Schizosaccharomyces pombe: one gene and its partner. The gene in region 2 interacts genetically with the main gene of each other region. Each region holds a gene or a part of one and is shown on either strand. Other genes may lie near its edges. The genes, in order: tts1 and rtn1.

Region 1 (3,929 bases), 3.1 Mb from region 2:
ACATTTATCTAAGCTTACTTTTATATCATTTTGAGTTTCATTATCCTCATAGTTGACAGCAGGATAAAACTCCAACTGATCAAACATCGTTCAAAATAATTACGATAATCAGAAAAACATCGAGCACTTTGTTGGTGTTTCCCAGTGAACCATAACACAGCGCTACGTTACTTTGCGCAGATGCTAAGAAACAAAACGCATTAACATCACATAAATTCAATTGAAACTGGTATTTTATCCAATGTAAACTAATAACTTGCTAGATTTCAAGAGTGCGCTGCTATACATGTGTTTATTGTGCTACAAAATTCAATAAAACGTATTATTTTTACCTCTTAATCTTTTAATACTCAAAGAGTTTTTGGATAAACAACATATATCCATATTTCAATTTCCTTGAAAAAAGCTAAACTAAAGTCTGAGGAGACCCCCCAAACAAAGATAACTGAAATAGAGGAGTAGTGAGCAAAAATAAATAAACGGAATTATCTCAAACAAGTTTTTAGAGAAAGAGGTAAACGGTATGAACATTCAAAATTTACTTGGGTGAAATAGAAACTACTCGTTAATAGTAAAGAACTCAAAAACCAGGAGCACTTAGACATATTAAAATCACACTGATTGGTGAAATTTATATAAATCTCTAGCAATCAAAAGGAATAAGGCATCACTTTAAGTAGATGAGGGAGCAGTGGTAGAGCTTGATGCAGTGGGACGGCTTTGAGCAGTACCTACAGGTGAAGCACCGAACTTGGACACATAAGTTTTGAATGTATGCCAAGCATTTTTGATAACAGGAGGAACTCTGTTATCTGCAACCAAACGATCCATTCGAAGGCTAACGGCTTTAATGGATGCACGAGTAAAGTGACTATTAGTGTATCTCATGCGAAGAAAGAAAATATAGCCCACCAACCTGGAAATTGAGTTTTTACGTAAGAAAACCCCAAAGAACAAACGGAACAATAAAAATGTTTCGAGAGAAGCAACAAGTTGCATAGCAGGTTGAAATTGGCTTCGAGTGTACTGATTTAGCAAATTAGAAACACGAGAAGCATAAGACGCAGTTTTCGCGTCAGAAATATTAGGGTAAATGGCAGGCAAAAGCACACTACGCAAGTAAGTGGAGATGTGGAAAGTGGCGTAAATGGCATATGGAGCGAGAGAAAATAGGATGGGACGATCAATCAACATTGAAAGAGCTAAAATAAAATACTGAACATTGTCATCGAGCATAAGACGGGCAAAGAAATGCTTATTCCAAGAAGCACGGGAAGTCAAGTTTGGACTATAAGTTTTGTAAAGGACAATTGCATATGCAACGATGGCACCAAAGGCAGCGCTTTTAAACAAAAATGGAGGAGCGGAACGAAAAGGGATTGCTTGAAGAGCATACAAGACGGAAGAGATTAGCACTATTACTTGCCCCGAAAACCAAACAAACTGGGTGTTCTATAATAAACGGTTAGTAATGTATTAAAAGAGTGAAGACAATATGACACTGAATCAAAATAAAATAATGCTGACAAATTAGTCTATGTTTTAGTAATAGATTACAGTTACGTTATGGAACTAAATAAGAAACTTTTCTTATAATCAACATTTATTATCTGATTTACACATGATAGATATATTTACCTTGACAACAGGTAAAACCCTTTCTTTTAAAGGCTTGACAACTCGTTGTTTTGGCTCCATTATAGCAAAGTTGTTATTTTCAAAGTTTTAAAGATGTGGCTTTTGTTAAGTTAATATCCAGCAAAAAGTATGTTGTAATAGTTGTGATAGAGTACAATGTACGCTTACCAATGGAAGATCCTAAATTTTCCTACATCAGAAAAAGAAAACCTATGGAACTTCTGTGAAATACGCTAGTACACGTTTTGACTAGAATTCTTTTAGCAGGAATATAAGCGCTTAAAAAAGGATTTACGCCTTTGAGTAGCATTCAAGCTATTACAATTAAATAGATTTAAATAGGGGCTACACTCTTTAGTTTTCTAAAATCCAATTGTTTAAGTCTAGCAGACACTCCAGAAAGCTAACATAATTCATTTACGACCCTTGATAACAATGTACAAGAAGCTCTGACTAAAATTTTTCAAAGTGAAATGCTAAAGTACGATGTTGTTTGTTACGCTATCTGTTCTATGTTTTACATGGAAACAATAAATGGATTAATTCTTGCACATTTACTAGTGGACAATAAATGGTTCAGATTCAACATTACTATATCACACTTGTATTGCTCGGCAACCTTCAATAACTTCTATTTAAAAATAACTAGCAAGATCTAAACTGGCTCTAGAGTATTCTCGAAGATAACACTTTGTGGATTCCGTTTTGAGTCCAGACGTTCTGTTAACAACATATCCATACGTAAATTGTTAAGTTATTTGTTGGCGAAGACGAGTACTATAAACGAATTTTGAGAAGCTTGGTATAAGTAAATGTTAGACTGTCGAAGTAATACGCCCTATATGTGTTCATGCCAAAAGAAATCAATAATATAGTTGACAATTTGAAATGCAGTGTATAATTTAAGGCAGTAAGAGACGAAAGTAAAGAGGGAAAAGGAAAATCATGTACTGTTATCACTTTATTCTTCGTTGATTTTCTTCTTCTTTATAATCCCACTATATTTGGTGGATTCATAAACTCGGTTGGTCCATGTTTATTTTAATTGATTTTCGTTAGCTATCTTAAAAGAAATTGGGCGGAAGATGCATCATAATGTTTAAACCAGTTTAGTCTGATCAGACACTAGTAAAAACGAGAAAACAATACTTATCTACCAATGAGTTTTCAGGCATCTATAAATATCGTTCTAATAAAAATCGAAAAAACAATCACAACTAACAAGAAAATCTTTTAAGAATTCTCAATCTTTATAACAGTCAATTTTCTTAAATCTAAGCTAATGCTCGCGAAATTCTTTGGTAGCTCTGAGTTAATAAATCAGAAAGACAAAACAAATCATTCAGGTTGAGTACATTTATACAGTAAGATTCCAACCAAAGCTTCCATATATGATATCTTTTGTAAACTTAAGGAAAGAAATAACGAAGCGGAATGTAAACATTTATTAAGTGTTTATACGTTCCAATACGTTAGATCTTATTATAGCGATTATAATATCAATTTCATATCTATCGCCGTATCGTTAATGTGATATAACAATAGGTTGCGATAAGGAAGAGGTTACACGGTCATATAGCCATACTCTCAAAAGATTAGATAAATTAAATTTTAAGTAGTACTACCTCCTTTTTGCGTTGGTTGAAAACTTGAAAAACTGACTCTGTTTTAACAATTCTGAATGGCTTCTTCACAAAAACTTTGGGGCGGTAGATTTACTGGCGCCACTGATCCCTTGATGACAGCTTATAATGAGTCTATTCATTATGACAAGCGCATGTTCAATGCCGACATTGATGGCTCGAAAGCTTATGCTAAGGCATTAGAACAACGCGGAATCATTAGTGCTGATGAATTGGATAAAATGTTAGATGGTTTAGAGGCTGTCCGAGATGAATGGAAGACAAATAAATTCACTCTTCAACCTTCTGACGAAGATATCCATACTGCTAACGAGCGCAGATTGGGAGAAATAATTGGTACAGGCATTGCTGGTAAGCTTCATACAGGAAGAAGTCGCAACGATCAAGTTACGACCGATATGCGCCTTTGGCTACGTGATGAGTTGGACATCATCCAAAAATCTTTAGTTGGGTTACTCCAAGTTTTTGTTGCTCGTGCAGAGTCTGACCTTGATATCATTATGCCCGGTTACACTCATTTGCAAAGAGCCCAGCCTATTCGCTGGTCCCATTTCTTATTGTCTCATGCCTTTTCTATATTAAATGACTTGGATCGCTTGAAACAAATTTATTCTAGAGTCAACCGACTCCCTTTAGGCGCTGGTGCAC
Region 2 (3,691 bases):
TTAAATACGTTTTCTCTTTCTCCCTCCCTTTTCACGAAAAGGCAAGAAAAGCCTTCTTGTTCATCATACGGTATGCTTGCAATTTTTAAGTGGGTGTAAATAAACAGACACACAACGCATAATGAGATGATGAAGAATTTCAATACAAACTGATTTGTACAAAAAAAATTAAATTATAAAAAGAAAATCTATTCAATTCAATTCAATTCGTGAAAAAATAAAAAAAATAAAAAATTCGAAATAAAATTACATTAAATTAATTAACGTAAACTGAAATAAATCAATTACTAAATGTAGAAAAGGTATGGTCTTATTTATTTCATCATATATATATATATATTTTTTTTTGAAATACATTTGCTTTGATTCTTAAGAAATAAATTTTTTGTCAAAAAAATTTCCAAAAAAAAAAAAAAAAAAAAAAAAGGCTTCAGAAGTTTGAATGAATTTTGTTTCTTCAAAGTTTTAATTGATTTCAATTCCTCAAATATTAAATAATTTTTTAAACAACAAATTTCTTCGTGTTTTACTCACTTGTGGATGATTCATCATTTCTCACCGTTACTATTCCTTTCCTTTTTCAATCTTTAATCCTTTCTTTATTCAGTTGTATCCTTTTCCTTTTCATCACTCTTATCCCTTTCTCCTTTACATTTTACAATCAAACTCCATACTTCGCTCTCCTTTCAACAAACTATCCTACACGAATTTATTTATCTATTTCTCACTTTTTTTTCGCCTCTTGTAGCCTTTCCTGCACTTAATCATTGTTTTCCCTTTATTTACTCTTTTTTCAATATCTCTAGCTTTTGCAAAAGTCATCCGTTTTCGCTCGTTCTTTCGTTTTTCATCCATTTTCATTGTTTCTCTATTCATTTCCTTCTTTTTCATACCATTTCACCCATCTTTTCATACCATTTAACCCATCTTTTCCCGCCCATCTTCTTCCTATTCTTCGTTTTTCTTTTACCATCCAAAATTCTCTTTCATTAGCCTGCTGTAAACCGATTATAAGCATGATCGCTATAGTCGCCGCTGACACAGACTTATTGAGCCAAGAACAACGTCATTCCATGATCAACGCTATGACTGCTATCTAACCACCAACCACCGACTTGACTTTTACCATATAAAAGCAAAGCTTTCCAACTAACAACTTTCTAACAGTTTCGTAAGTGAAACATATTGACTTTCCTCTCAACAACTCGTGAAGGTCTCTTTTTGTATTTACCCATTCTACTTTTATTTTTTCTTTCGATCAATATCTCCCTTAAAAGTTAACCCTTTTGGAACTTGGCTTTGGATTTAATACATATACATTTTATTTATCCTACAGCAAAATCCAAAAATCTTTTATTCACTTTTTTAAGTCTTTGTTACAAAGTATTTCGCTCTTCCGAAAAGTCGTCCTTTACTAGCTATTTTCTTTAGTCGGCACTTTTCAGAATTAGTTTTCTTTAAATTTTCTCTATTTTTTACTATATCTTAAAAAAAAAACACTTGCACCCTTTTTTAGTTTAAAAGGTTTCTCTTTTTTTTTAAGGCTTCTTTTGATTCTTAGTAACTGTTTTACCTTAAGTTGTTATTTTAAAATTGAATATAACACGCAAATCATGTCTGAACAACATTCATTAAACCCCTTTGAATCCGGTTCCGTCACTGCTTCCGATGTCGCCGCTGCTAAATCCGGTGCTGAGGACCTTGTAAATACTTTGACTGCTCACACCGTTCACCCTTCCACCGAATTGCCCTCTGCCACTTCATTTCCCTCTGCTCTCCCCAACTCTGAGAATCCCGTTATTCAAAACATCTCTTCTTCCTCTTCCGAGCCCCACCACACCTCTCAATCCACACCTGGCGAGACAAGCAGTCCCGTCTGCCCAGTTTCCGGCGCTCACGGAGGTGCCGACAAAAAATGCCCTGCTTTGGAGGCCGGTTGCCCTTTTACCAACACTACTAAGCAAAACGTCGATCCTGAGATCTCTAATGCTTTGTGGTCTGTGTTGACTTGGAAGAACACCTCTTGCAGTTTCTCTACCTTGATGAGTATTCTTGCTCTCGTTTATGTCCCTTCTTGGATCAATCTTCCTCGCCTCTTTTTCAGAACTTTCCGTTATGTCTTTTTGATTACCTCCATCATTGAATTCGGTGGTCTTTTCGCTTCCAACGGTAAGCGTGGTGTCTTGTCTCACTTCCGTTCCTCCTACATCACCTGCGACTCCAAGGCTCTTGATAGGATTGTCAACTCAATTGTCGACATTTTCAACGTTATGTTGATTCAATTCCAACGTATCTTGTTTGCTGAGAGCCCTATTTTGACCTTTACTGCCTCTGTTGCTGCTTTTATTGAGTTTTTCCTTAGTGGCTTCCTTTCCTACAAGTCTCTCTTTGTTTGGAATGTTTTGTTTGCCTTCATCCTTCCCAGATTGTATGTATGCAATGAGCGCTCTATCAAGCATTTGGTTGCTTCCCTTGAGAGATCTGGTGATAAACTTAAAAAGCAAGCTACTGAGACTATAAACACCACTGTTAACAAGTAAACCTCTGCGGGATAATTTGTTTGATTGTTTCTGTCAGGTTGCGCTTGATTTTTATTTGGTTCGCTTCCTCGTTTATTTTAAGGTTTCAATAGTATCTTTTGCAAAAAAATGCAAGGGTAATAACCATGGTTTTGTTTTCAACTTTGAAAATGTGTTGCTGTGTTGTGTTGCGTTTCAAAAGTGTTGTATTATGACTTGAATTAGGAGATTGAATGCGTTTTCTCAATTATTTTGCTTATGACTATGAGTGTTTATTTTCATAAATACGTCTTTCTCATCTCGATATATTGTAAATGTAACAGGTTCGGCTCAATCTCTCATTTCTCTTCTGAGTTGCAAACTATTGCAGTGTGGTTGAAGTTCTTGTTGCTTTGCTCAATATGATGCTATTTTATTATATTTTCTCTGCTTCGTTTAATACCCAACGTACTTATTATTCGTAATTTAATCTCGTAATTACTCCGTGTTGTTTTGTAGGTCCTCCTCGTATTCCTTATTGCTGCTCTTTTCGAAAAAAAAAATATATATATATATTTTCCATAACTAAAATGGGTCTGTGGACGAAAAAATCTATTTTGTTTAACCAAATGACTAAAGTATTTGTTAACCAAAAATTATTATTTTTTTTCCACTACTTCGTATTTAATACAGCCGATCATACAGTAAAGTGCTGATTACACTCGCATGATCGTTGTCTGCTCTCACCACAAGTCATTCACTTATATCAATGTTGTGCCAGCTTTTTACGTTTAAGCTCAAAATTTCCTTTGTATCCATATATTAGGATTATTGAAATTCAATTTATTGTCAATTTATCATGCCGCAACGCTATTATACATGAGTTCCAAGAAAGTCAAATACAATCCTCGAAAAAGCGCATCTCAAAATGAAGCTACCTCAGCTTCAGCAGGTAGCAAAGCTTTTGGATTTAATTCCGCGAAAAAGGAGAAACTTCATAGAATGGCGCTGTCTATGGAAGCAATTGAAGATGTTGAGGATCAATCGTTCAATGGCAAGTCTTCCAATCTAGTCAGAAAGCGTCGGGGTTTGGATGAAGACATTGATGAATTTTCTTCTTCATCAGAGGATGAAAGAAAGCCTGCTCGACATCCTCAAAGCTCCTCTCAAAAACCATTTGCTAGCTCTACATA

The links.
Region 1: of rtn1 (region 2) and tts1, changing one enhances a phenotype caused by changing the other (phenotypic enhancement), as found in Schizosaccharomyces pombe (one study listed by BioGRID).

The regions. Positions count from the first base shown.
Region 1 is NC_003423.3:4,366,158-4,370,086, reverse strand, and holds tts1 (tetra-spanning protein 1), read right to left. Parts: upstream 1,746-3,929; 5' UTR 1,699-1,745; coding exon 1,639-1,698; intron 1,540-1,638; exon of another isoform or gene 1,453-1,539; coding exon 673-1,452; 3' UTR 271-672; downstream 1-270. Other genes in the region: COG complex subunit Cog3, read right to left, coding at 19-87; arg41 (argininosuccinate lyase), read left to right, coding at 3,320-3,929. UniProt on the Schizosaccharomyces pombe protein: Required for the correct positioning of the cellular division plane by delimiting the actomyosin ring assembly at the cell equator.
Region 2 is NC_003423.3:1,261,527-1,265,217, reverse strand, and holds rtn1 (reticulon Rtn1), read left to right. Parts: upstream 1-1,613; coding exon 1,614-2,540; 3' UTR 2,541-2,920; downstream 2,921-3,691. Other genes in the region: protein dbl7, read left to right, coding at 3,378-3,691. UniProt on the Schizosaccharomyces pombe protein: Required for the correct positioning of the cellular division plane by delimiting the actomyosin ring assembly at the cell equator. Overexpression causes cell lysis.